Schizosaccharomyces pombe: one gene and its partners. The main gene of each other region encodes a partner of the protein of the gene in region 3 in a complex. Each region holds a gene or a part of one and is shown on either strand. Other genes may lie near its edges. The genes, in order: mrpl23, mrpl25 and mhr1.

Region 1 (3,179 bases), 2.4 Mb from region 3:
GCGGTACGTTTCTCTAGCGACCTACAATATAGCGGTATGCAATATTTAACTAACAATGTATATTTATTGTTATAAGAAGTCTATTAGTATCGGTCACCGATATAGCTAATAACTGAGCTGAGGAACGAGGTTCAGTGGTAGCTCTATTTACAATCTTTCTAATAGTTTTTAGCAATTTATTTATGTATGCAGAAAAGCAATTTATCCGCATCTATCAGCAAACGAATCTTAAGTAATATCTTAGCATATGACATATAGTGATACGCAACGTACTGTATCATAGCTAGTGTAGTTCTGCTAACATTAACATGTACTTCTTTGTTTGTATTATGCATATAGCATTAACCGCGTTAAGCTAAGTTAACGTTACGAAGAGCGTACAGAAGAGATTCAGTTTAGTAACTGCGAATTGTTAATTGTTCTCATAACTTAGCCTACATCTAGTGTAAGACGACGATTGTGAAAATTCACCTTAAAAAATTCAACAAGTCTTGCAAATTATGACTTGAATAATTTTCCATTAAGAAGAATAAGCACACAATGTTTTTTGATGACAAGATAACTTGACATTCTGCCATTCATGCGGTTTCATACACATCAATTAATTTAGTGCATAAATACAATATAACAAGTTATTAAATTTTAGAAGAAGAATGAAAAAGCAATTCCTTGTACGTAAAAACTCGTCAAATTCTCGCTACCTTCGTCGAGATTGCGTTATATGTTTACAAAAAGATGGTCTTCGGGCACAGCTATCTCCATGTGGGCATGACCAGTTCGATTATTCTTGCATATGTCGCTGGATGGATCAATCCTTGACATGTCCCATCTGTAAGAGACACGTAGATTGTGTGTTTTATGGATTTCATGGGTCAAGTTTGTATAAGAAGTGGTATACTCAATCTTTGGGGTCAAATCAGTATTCGATTTCACGACAATTACTACGGCAGCCTTCATTTTCCTCCAGCGAAAACACTGACAGATTGGCCGATTTGCTACGCGTACGACGTTTCATCTATCAAAAGGCATGGAAAAGCTATGAAAATCCCTCGCTTTCATCACATAGGCAATATCAAATACCCACTCCTATCCAACTAGCTTCTAGCGCATCTTTATTAAAGAAAGTGGAAAGCTTTATTGCTAAAGAACTTCTCTTGTTTGAATATTTAGATGGACATCAAATTAACTTTATACAAATCTTTTTGATGGGTCTCTTACGAGTTCAGAATATTCAACATCCACAAACCATTGATGAATTAGCGGAATTTATAGGCCATGAAGAGTCCTCTATACTCCTCCATGAATTGCAAAGATATTTACAATTCCGTCCATTGTCGATAAGCAGCTACTTGTATAGCAAGCGATATTTGTATGGTCCGGAAGGCTTAACAATGGTTCAGCTGTTGAGTCAAATTGAAAACATTCAGCATGAATCTGGTCCTGAGACGGAAAATTCGTAATCAAGCGTTAATTGTATATTATTGCAATTTACTGTGATTCTTTGGGCTTATCAAAAATTAGTTTTATCATTGTATCGTTCATTGCCTTATTTTTTCTAATATATACAAATGGTATTTTTTGAAGCAATAGCTATTAGCTTTATCATGATTAGTAAAGGAGGTTCGTATTATGAATTGAAAAATCAATATTTAAGAAATAATAAATAAAACAACATTTTTGAAAAATAGAAATTTTGTAGGTAACAGTTACCTTACTACAGTTGCTTAGCATCCAATATTTACCCACACCTACAAGCTTGAGGAAACATTATTTGAGCAATTTTCCTACTTCTCTTTTATTAGAAACCACTGATATTGTACTGTCGCTTTAAGAGAAAAATCAGAAGGAACTGAGGATTTTATGATATAGAAATCTCAACGCGATGTCAACGTTGAATGGACAAGTATGAAATTAGTTTGACAGTTTCTTTTACTAACAATATCAGACAGCATTGGCTTACGCCAAAGTTTGGCATCATGTTTCTGCAAAAAATGTTCCTCTAGGTAGGCTGGCTTCCCAAATTGCAACTACTCTTATGGGCAAGCACAAACCCATTTATCACCCTGCAGCAGACTGTGGAGATGTCGTAGTAGTCACTGACTGTTCTGAAATTGGGATTTCTGGTCGAAAACTCGAAAATCATAAATATTATTCACATTCGGGTCAGCCTGGTCATCTTAAAGAGTGGACGATGGAAGAAATGGCTGCGAAACGGGGGCACAAGGATTTGTTGAGAAGAGCAGTTGGTGGAATGCTTCCAAGAAATAAGCTTTGGGATAGGAGAATGAAACGTCTTTATATTTACGATGGAGCTGAACACCCTTATAAGGCAAACATATTTCGTTCCTACCATAATCCTGTAAGTTCGCAAATTGCGAAGGAATTATTCTCGAAATAAGTGTTTAAAATCTCCTTTAATTTTAAAAGGTAGTTCAAAGAACAAAAGCCATATCCCTACTCACTTAAATTTCATTGATTTTTTGCATTAATGTTTGAACATTCCACAATGTCGTATGCCCTAAAAAGCTAACACATTTTAATATTGTTCTTTCCAAAAAAAATTATTTTATATAAATTAATGTTATTGTATTCACTATAAGAAGCTGTAATGTATTTAAAGACACATTTACGTTTGTGAACTGGTAAGAATGAATGTCTGGTAACCATAAGAGGACTACAACTTTTCTTGCGAGTAAAAAGTAGATAACATGAGACGTCGACATAAATAACGACATTTGGAAATTATCTCCAAAGCCAGATAAACGCGCTAAAAAGTACCCTATCGTTGTGAAGAGCAAACAAATTCAACAAACGTCAACCTAAAACCTTGCTTAGCAAAGGCCATATAAAGTAATAAAATCAAGAGCCATTAACTTAGGGAGAAGATTTTACACTTCTTATTAAACATATCTACGCTTTACATTTTAAAAGAAAAGATAGCCAATAAGGAAGAAAATCAGGCAAAGAATGATAACAATATTGGGAGGAATTCCTGGAGATTCGGTTAAAGAAGCACCAGTGGAACTCGAAGGGTCAGCTGAATAAGAGGGCTTGATTTGTTCCAAGGCGTTGTCGGAACTATGAGCACCTGCAGCAGGTTTTGCCCCTTGTAAAGATTCACGAGTTTCAGATCCGAGATTTTCAGAAACTTTTTCAACGGCAGGGGTAGATTCAGGAAG
Region 2 (3,439 bases), on a different chromosome or scaffold from region 3:
AAAAGAGATTGTAAGTCGCCGTTGGTTTTAACAAGACTAGTTGAATTGGGAGATTATGTACTGGATCTCATTATAATCACGCAGTCGATTATGCAAAACAATGCCAACAATGGAACTGGAGTGATTTCCAGAGCGAAATTTTTGGAATTTTACGTATTTTTGGAGCAACTGATATTTAACAAGCTCTCATTCGCTTCCGTAGAGCAATTGGAAAAATTACTAGATCAAATTGTTAAACGGATGAAAATATGCTTCACATATTGCAAAAACGATAACCCATCTATCCGGTTGTTATATAGTGAATGTTTTTTTTCGTACGCTGAGATATACTTCCCTTGTCTACACTCCTTCGATGCTCAGCTTTCATCTGCCGCAAGCAAATGTGTCCAAATCTTAAGAGACATAATCACAAATGAAGAATTACAAACTGATAAACAAGAGTTGTCTAAGAGTGCCTACTCTGCTCCATCCATCCTTTTGATTGGCCTCAAAGATATGCTATTTCCCGAAGACATTTCCTAATAGTAATATATTGAGGGCCACTATTTAACACACATTCATTTCTTGCCTTTCCAATTTGACTCCTTTTGTTATCCTAAAATATTCACAACATTTGGTGGAATTTTTCTGGAAATTCAATGTACAAAGAACGTTGTGGTGAAAGTGTTGATCATCATATCCATTCGATGAACTTTGATATTATGTTCCCTTTTAAATCTTGGGCATAAGGGAAAGGTTTTCTGCTTTTAAAAATTGATGGATAAAAGAAACAAAGGAACAAAAAAAGCGAATATATAGTGGCCAATTTGTATTATTTTCAAGTACAGAAGTGCTTTCCAAATTCGTTTACAAGAAACTTTGGAATTTCAATCAACAAGCTATGTTTCTTCTTTTCCAATAAAGCGCATTTAATACAACGCGTTGACAACAAGATTATTGATCAAGTAAAGGAAATTTATCGCACAAGCCTTCATTCATAATCCGCGATTTGATCTATACGCATTGCTATCCTATTCCTTACGAGGGATAAATCGAAGGAAGTGATAATGGATAAAACCACACAAGCTCCAGAGAATTGAAGGTTTTTCAGCTATAGACCTAACTAGAAGAACAGGGATACTTACAGGGCTTATTAATATTCAACATTAAAGAGCGTCTTATCGATTCCTTGTCAACTTGATATCACCAACAGTTCTATGCACTACTAACTTTATGTCACACTGCGTTACATGTCATTATAAATAATTCCTTTAGTATTTCTTATATTCTCCACTAATTGGAGTCATCGAGAGATGACCGGACTTTTCCTACAATAATTTTTACTTTTATTTATGTTTTAAAATACTCAAAATAAGCATGATTGAGCTTTTTTTGCTTACTCTCAACATGTGTCAGTAGGAATCCGTACATGATCTGATATGATAATTTTACTGGCATCAGAAACTCTATAACCACACACAGCTTACTTGAACGGGCCTCATTTGATGGAATCATAGAAGCAATCACAACTAAAAACGATAATGATTGAAAGCGTTTGAATGCTACGTTGGCGGAACACAATCACACATACTGTCAGCCTTCAATAATTAAATAACGCAACCCAACAAAGATGCCTAAGGTAGAGGGACTAATGCGAGAGGAAGCCATCTACGCAGTATGTAAAATATTTTAAGGAGTTTGTATAGTTGCTAATTTAACAACGATATACATAATAACGAAATATGTTAGTGATTTTTATATTTGTATAAAATAATACCCTGGATAATTTTGTATTTATTAACTATAGTACTGCTACACCGTAATATTATATTAATTAGTATATCCATTGGAACTAAATTGAGTAACTAAGAATTAGTCCGACCTAATAAACGCTAATAGTCAATAAATTGGCTTAGAATTGTCTGAGATAATAAACTCTTTTAATATTTCAAACGATGAAAAGTTTCGATTAAGAACTCAAGAATGAACAGTAATGATTGATTTAACGTAATATAGCGCAGTTAAACGTTTGCCGACATCTTAGGTCAATGTATTTTCTAATACTAATAGTGCTTGACTCACTGTCTTTTTGAGCTTCTCTATAGATTAAAGAGGTTTTAACCTTATCATGCCAGTCTTTACCAAGGAAGCTTTGGAACGGCTTCCTATCCAATTAGGAAACTTTTTTAAAAAGTTTCCGCCTGAAAATCCAAATGCATGGACGACAAATCCAAATCGTCAAAATCCGTTTCTCGCAACTCGAAATCCTCAGAATGGCCTTGTAATCAACCCTTACTATTCCAATAGAAGGCAAGCTGAAATATATAAAGAGGCCAGGCTTCAGAATCTGGATAATTTACTCCCCCAACAAATGTCATGGCAGAAAGATTCTACACGCCATATTTTGAAAGGTCTTCTGAATCCTAAAGGAAAAATTAGTGAACGAAAGAGGGATGAGATTTTGGAAAATAGGCGTTTAAAACTTTCGGAATCATTGAAGAAAACTTCTAAATTTAAAAATGAGCGCGTATGTAAACTGTTGTACTTTCATGATTTTCTTATTTCTATCTACTGATTTTGATTGTGAAAAATTTACTATTATTATTTTTTTAATTGTCTTTATTAACACTCTTTTTAGCAAAAAGCTAGCAAAATAGCGAAACCTTCTCCTTTCTAAATTCTTCTTCTGCAAAGTGGGTTTCACGTAATACTGTTAATACCTTTTGATTCCTGTTTGTTTATGACTTCCTTAAATTTTTTTAAAGATTCATTTAAATTTACTGCTATATTACCTCAATTATGTGTTTACTAAAAGTCTTTTATTGTGCAGCATGATAAAAAGACTAATATACTAGTCTATACATTTTTGTAATCTTTACTAATAATATGATTCTACTTTAATAGTTAAATTACATTTAAATATTAGGTTTTGAATCTGCAGACTTAGGATTTTAGAATGTGATTTATTCGTAACTTTTCATTATGAAGTATCTTGTTATCTTTAATTTTTAGGAAGAGCGCATTTAAATATAAAAAAAATATTTAGCACTTTCTCAAAACTCATTACTTGTGAATGAGTAAGTAAGTCATTATATGATTTATGTAACTTTCTAAGCTTATTAGTGCATTTCAAAGCCGACGGAAATTCGTCAAAGTGATTTTAAGATTTTGGGGCATTAAAAAAAAAGATGGACAGTCGAGTAATTTTTTTTTCATCGGAAATTGGGAAAATGCAACTTCAAACAGCATTTTCAACGTCTTCTTCTCCTTCTTCATCTTCTTCACCTTCAAACATTAATTCATTGAAAGACTTAATCAATGGACTAGGAGAATAATCTTGAGCATCTTCCTCGTCAATCCCCTCGAATTCTTGATATCCGAATTTCGTATTTTTGGGTGTTTTGGGCGACTTGGATGTGCTTTTATTAGTATCGTCTTCTTCTTCATCGCTAAGTTCAAG
Region 3 (3,503 bases):
TTCTTGTCCTTCATATTCAGTCAATAATCATGTAAACAATCCAATTGTCAAACAAAACTCAACATTAACACAACCATCGTTACGAAAAAAAAATACAATGGCTGCACCTGCTAGATTAAGAAAGCGTTCGGAAAATGTGCGACTTACACAAGCTAGATATGCGATATTTCATATCTTCCTTCCTTTCATTCTTACTTTATTGCTTTATCATAATTTTTATAATTATTTCGATCAGGCATTGGCGGATCTTAATTCTGTGGTTAAATATGTTATTGAAACTATAGTGTTAATATTTACATACGTGATGACAGTGATTATTGTTTATTGTAAGTTTTTGAGATGATTTGAATTCATGGCTAACGATTTTCTAGTTTCATTTTCGTTAATTAAATTAGCGTTTGAAGAAGCTTATGTTTATGCACCATCTGTAGCTAAAGCGAATGAAGGTCTAGCTAAACATGTAGCTAAAACGATTGCAGGCCTAGTTAAATATGTAGCTAAAGCAATTCAAGGTTTGGCTCATATTATTTTATCCTTACTGTTGTTTATTCTCGGGCTCGAAGTAATAGAACAAGATGAAGAGACTGGCGACGTTGAAATGTCGTCTATGCGAGGCCAAGCAATTACCACAGAGCCAGCAAGTGACAACACAATGGCTGAGGGAACCGATTGCAACACTTCTAAAGATGTAGAATCGGGCAGCAGCTAAAAGTCATGGCTAGAAAAAAAAATCAAGGGGCTGCCAACCAGCTGCGAGTGTCTTTTTTATTTCATTACTAATTTTCTTACTTTCCTGCAGAAGCTCCTTTTTTCCCCTTTATTTCTATTTCTTGTATTATTACCTTATACGCATTGTCACTTAATCATTTCCGATGACAGTCATCACTCTTTTTCCATACATACATTTTTGTCTCTGTTATAGAGTAAACACGATGTGTTTCTGTGGTGCTAGGAAAAGTCATTTAACTAATGAATCTGGTTGTCAATTATAAATTAATCATCCTCTTTATTGTTTTACCAAATTGATATACAATCCTTAATTATGACTTTGTAAGATTTGCGAATTAAAAAATTGAACAAGTAAGGCATTACTCAAAAGACGCAAAGTAGTGATTTAACCTTAGTTTCTGTTTAATGCATAAAATGAGGATTCCATATATCATTTTCAAGTGTTCGGAGCTTTAAAATACAGTATATACAGGAAATATAAGTTCAAACTTGTTTCTAAAACAAATAAAAATGAAAAATCAATTTGGTGTAGAGCGAAAACCTATTTTAAATAATGCGATTTCCCAATTCCTGGTCAGTAGCAATTTCTTTACAAAAAGAATTAAAAAATTATTCAATTTGTATTATATGAAATCTTTCGTATTCAAAATCTACCAACATTCAGCCCAAGCGAAAAGTAATATTTTTTGCTATGTCCATAGGTAACAATATAATTTATTTCAGAGAACACCCATTGAAATTGCTGCTTATATTAACTGTGTAACATAATATATTAGGTCACAGAGAGATTCATTGCACTTTAAGTATCGTTAAGCAGATACCGAAATACGTGAGCGACACTTTAAATAGATATTAAACTGCGTAGCTGACCAGTATTCAAATTTTCCGTCACTCACCGTATCATTAAAACATTTACTGTTTTTGGCTGCTCAACGCGCAATGCTGCCTAACATCTGTGCTAGCAAACGATATGTGTTTATTGGGCACAACGTTTATACGCGGACGCGCTATTAACAAACTTCGCATCTCTTACAAGCATATATGTAAACAGCCAATCTGTACTCGTAAAAGGAAAGAATGCTTGAAAAGAACAAGTATCTCTATATATTTAGGCATATTCAAACGAATCAGGTACTTTTATCTCAAGGAAATGTTTTAAAAAAGACTGCGTTGTTTCAACTTCCCTACCCACTTCAAAAGCCAGTCGCTCCAAATGGTATGCGACCCGCTAAGCTCCGTAAAGACCATTGGGTTCCTTTACTAAAAGTCGAATTTCCTAATGAATCAATGTTTCAATCTGTTTTTATGCAACTGTTAAACTATCGAAAATATCGTTCTGTTCAACCACTGACTAGTGACCTTTTGAAATTGCCTATACCCGTTCGTAGAAGAAAAATAATGCGACAAGAGGTTCCTAACACGATTGCGGACTTGGCAGATATTTTAAATAAAGAAAAATTTCCCGAAAATTCCGTTCGTTTGCAACTGAGTGATAAATCCGATAGTGAATATGCAGATTGGCCCCCTAGTGTGCAGATTGATTCAGAGGAAATTAAACTCTCGCGAGGTTTCCGTGAAAAAACAACCGTAGACGAAGCTAGATGAAGCATAATATCATTACTTCTCTCACTTTCTTCCTTCAAAAACACCCCTCATCCATTTTTAGGCTTTCTTAAAGGGCATTATATGAAGTATAAGCTAACACATATTCATATTAGCTCAATCTTTTTTACTTAATGATAAAGTCCTTTTTACTAAAGACGGTTACGAATTCTTCCCAGTGTATCCAGTGTATTGCACTGGACAGCTTCCTTAGCTTATCATTGTACTTCAATGCGAGAGTATTGGCTAGATACTCAAGACAAGATAAATTTAATACAAATCGACACCAAATACTCGTATCTTTATTATTTTACCATTTTGAAGTTTTCGAGCTCCTATGAAATATATGCAAGATTAACTCATCACTTTATTGCCTCGTTTTTTTTTTGTTTAAAGTTTGGTCCAGAATAAAAAAAAAATATTAGCATCTAAAATAGAAATCATGGACCAAATATTTAAATAGTTATAACAATGCCAAAAGAAAAGACTTTATAAACCAAAGACATAAATACCATAAATCGTTAAAGAGCGGTAGTTATAGTTAAACTCTTAGAGTGGATTAATGCACAAGGAGGTAATCCTTCCATAAATATTAATAAGTCATCAACATATTCCTCGCTTTTTCGAAAGCTCTTATGAGTGTCGGCCAAAGGTGCTGGTAAAACAGTAAACAATACAGAAGTATTTTTAGTATGTTTCAGCACGATTTCATTCATAATTATGTATTGAGATCTCGAGGATAAATCGTTAAACGTCAACTTCTCTTTAGAATAGTCCCTTCCTATTTTTTTCTTTGGTGCTAGTCTATCAGATGAACTATCTTCTCGGACCACGTTGGGCATCAGAGATGACTCAATAGTACTGTCAGAATAAGTTCTTCTATTTTCTTGTTTTGGTGATAAAGAACGGTTTCCGAAAGAAGATTCAGTCTCAAACGACTTTACTGAATGCATATGTGGCCCAAGGCGGAAACTCAATGGCACACTTAAAGGTGGAGCACTCTTATCAAAGCTGGCAGATCTAAAGTTATAACCAGACATACGACGTGGAAAACGAATAGGTCCTAAGGAATCTACAGTATTTCCTCTTCTTTTCTTTTCTTCCTGCCACCACGAGTCATCTTTCAGTAAGTTTTCAAGCTCGGAAGACTTGCTAGGTCTCACATGCTCATT

The links.
Region 1: mhr1 (region 3) and mrpl23 share a complex: the UniProt entries of both Schizosaccharomyces pombe proteins name them as parts of the mitochondrial large ribosomal subunit.
Region 2: mhr1 (region 3) and mrpl25 share a complex: the UniProt entries of both Schizosaccharomyces pombe proteins name them as parts of the mitochondrial large ribosomal subunit.

What each region holds. Positions count from the first base shown.
Region 1 is NC_003423.3:4,218,021-4,221,199, forward strand, and holds mrpl23 (mitochondrial 54S ribosomal protein uL13m), read left to right. Parts: upstream 1-1,752; 5' UTR 1,753-1,882; coding exon 1,883-1,903; intron 1,904-1,945; coding exon 1,946-2,398; 3' UTR 2,399-2,596; downstream 2,597-3,179. Other genes in the region: mrz1 (ubiquitin-protein ligase E3), read left to right, coding at 654-1,460; scs2 (VAP family protein), read right to left, coding at 2,925-3,179. UniProt on the Schizosaccharomyces pombe protein: Component of the mitochondrial ribosome (mitoribosome), a dedicated translation machinery responsible for the synthesis of mitochondrial genome-encoded proteins, including at least some of the essential transmembrane subunits of the mitochondrial respiratory chain.
Region 2 is NC_003424.3:4,993,113-4,996,551, reverse strand, and holds mrpl25 (mitochondrial 54S ribosomal protein mL59), read left to right. Parts: upstream 1-2,044; 5' UTR 2,045-2,107; coding exon 2,108-2,506; intron 2,507-2,617; coding exon 2,618-2,656; 3' UTR 2,657-2,928; downstream 2,929-3,439. Other genes in the region: meiotic recombination protein Rec24, read left to right, coding at 1-522; lipin, phosphatidate phosphatase Ned1, read right to left, coding at 3,218-3,439. UniProt on the Schizosaccharomyces pombe protein: Component of the mitochondrial ribosome (mitoribosome), a dedicated translation machinery responsible for the synthesis of mitochondrial genome-encoded proteins, including at least some of the essential transmembrane subunits of the mitochondrial respiratory chain.
Region 3 is NC_003423.3:1,799,562-1,803,064, reverse strand, and holds mhr1 (mitochondrial 54S ribosomal protein mL67 ), read left to right. Parts: upstream 1-1,774; 5' UTR 1,775-1,806; coding exon 1,807-2,334; 3' UTR 2,335-2,852; downstream 2,853-3,503. Other genes in the region: SPOM_SPBC18H10.18C (uncharacterized protein), read left to right, coding at 1-326, 372-709; vacuolar membrane cation-chloride cotransporter Vhc1, read right to left, coding at 2,853-3,503. UniProt on the Schizosaccharomyces pombe protein: Component of the mitochondrial ribosome (mitoribosome), a dedicated translation machinery responsible for the synthesis of mitochondrial genome-encoded proteins, including at least some of the essential transmembrane subunits of the mitochondrial respiratory chain.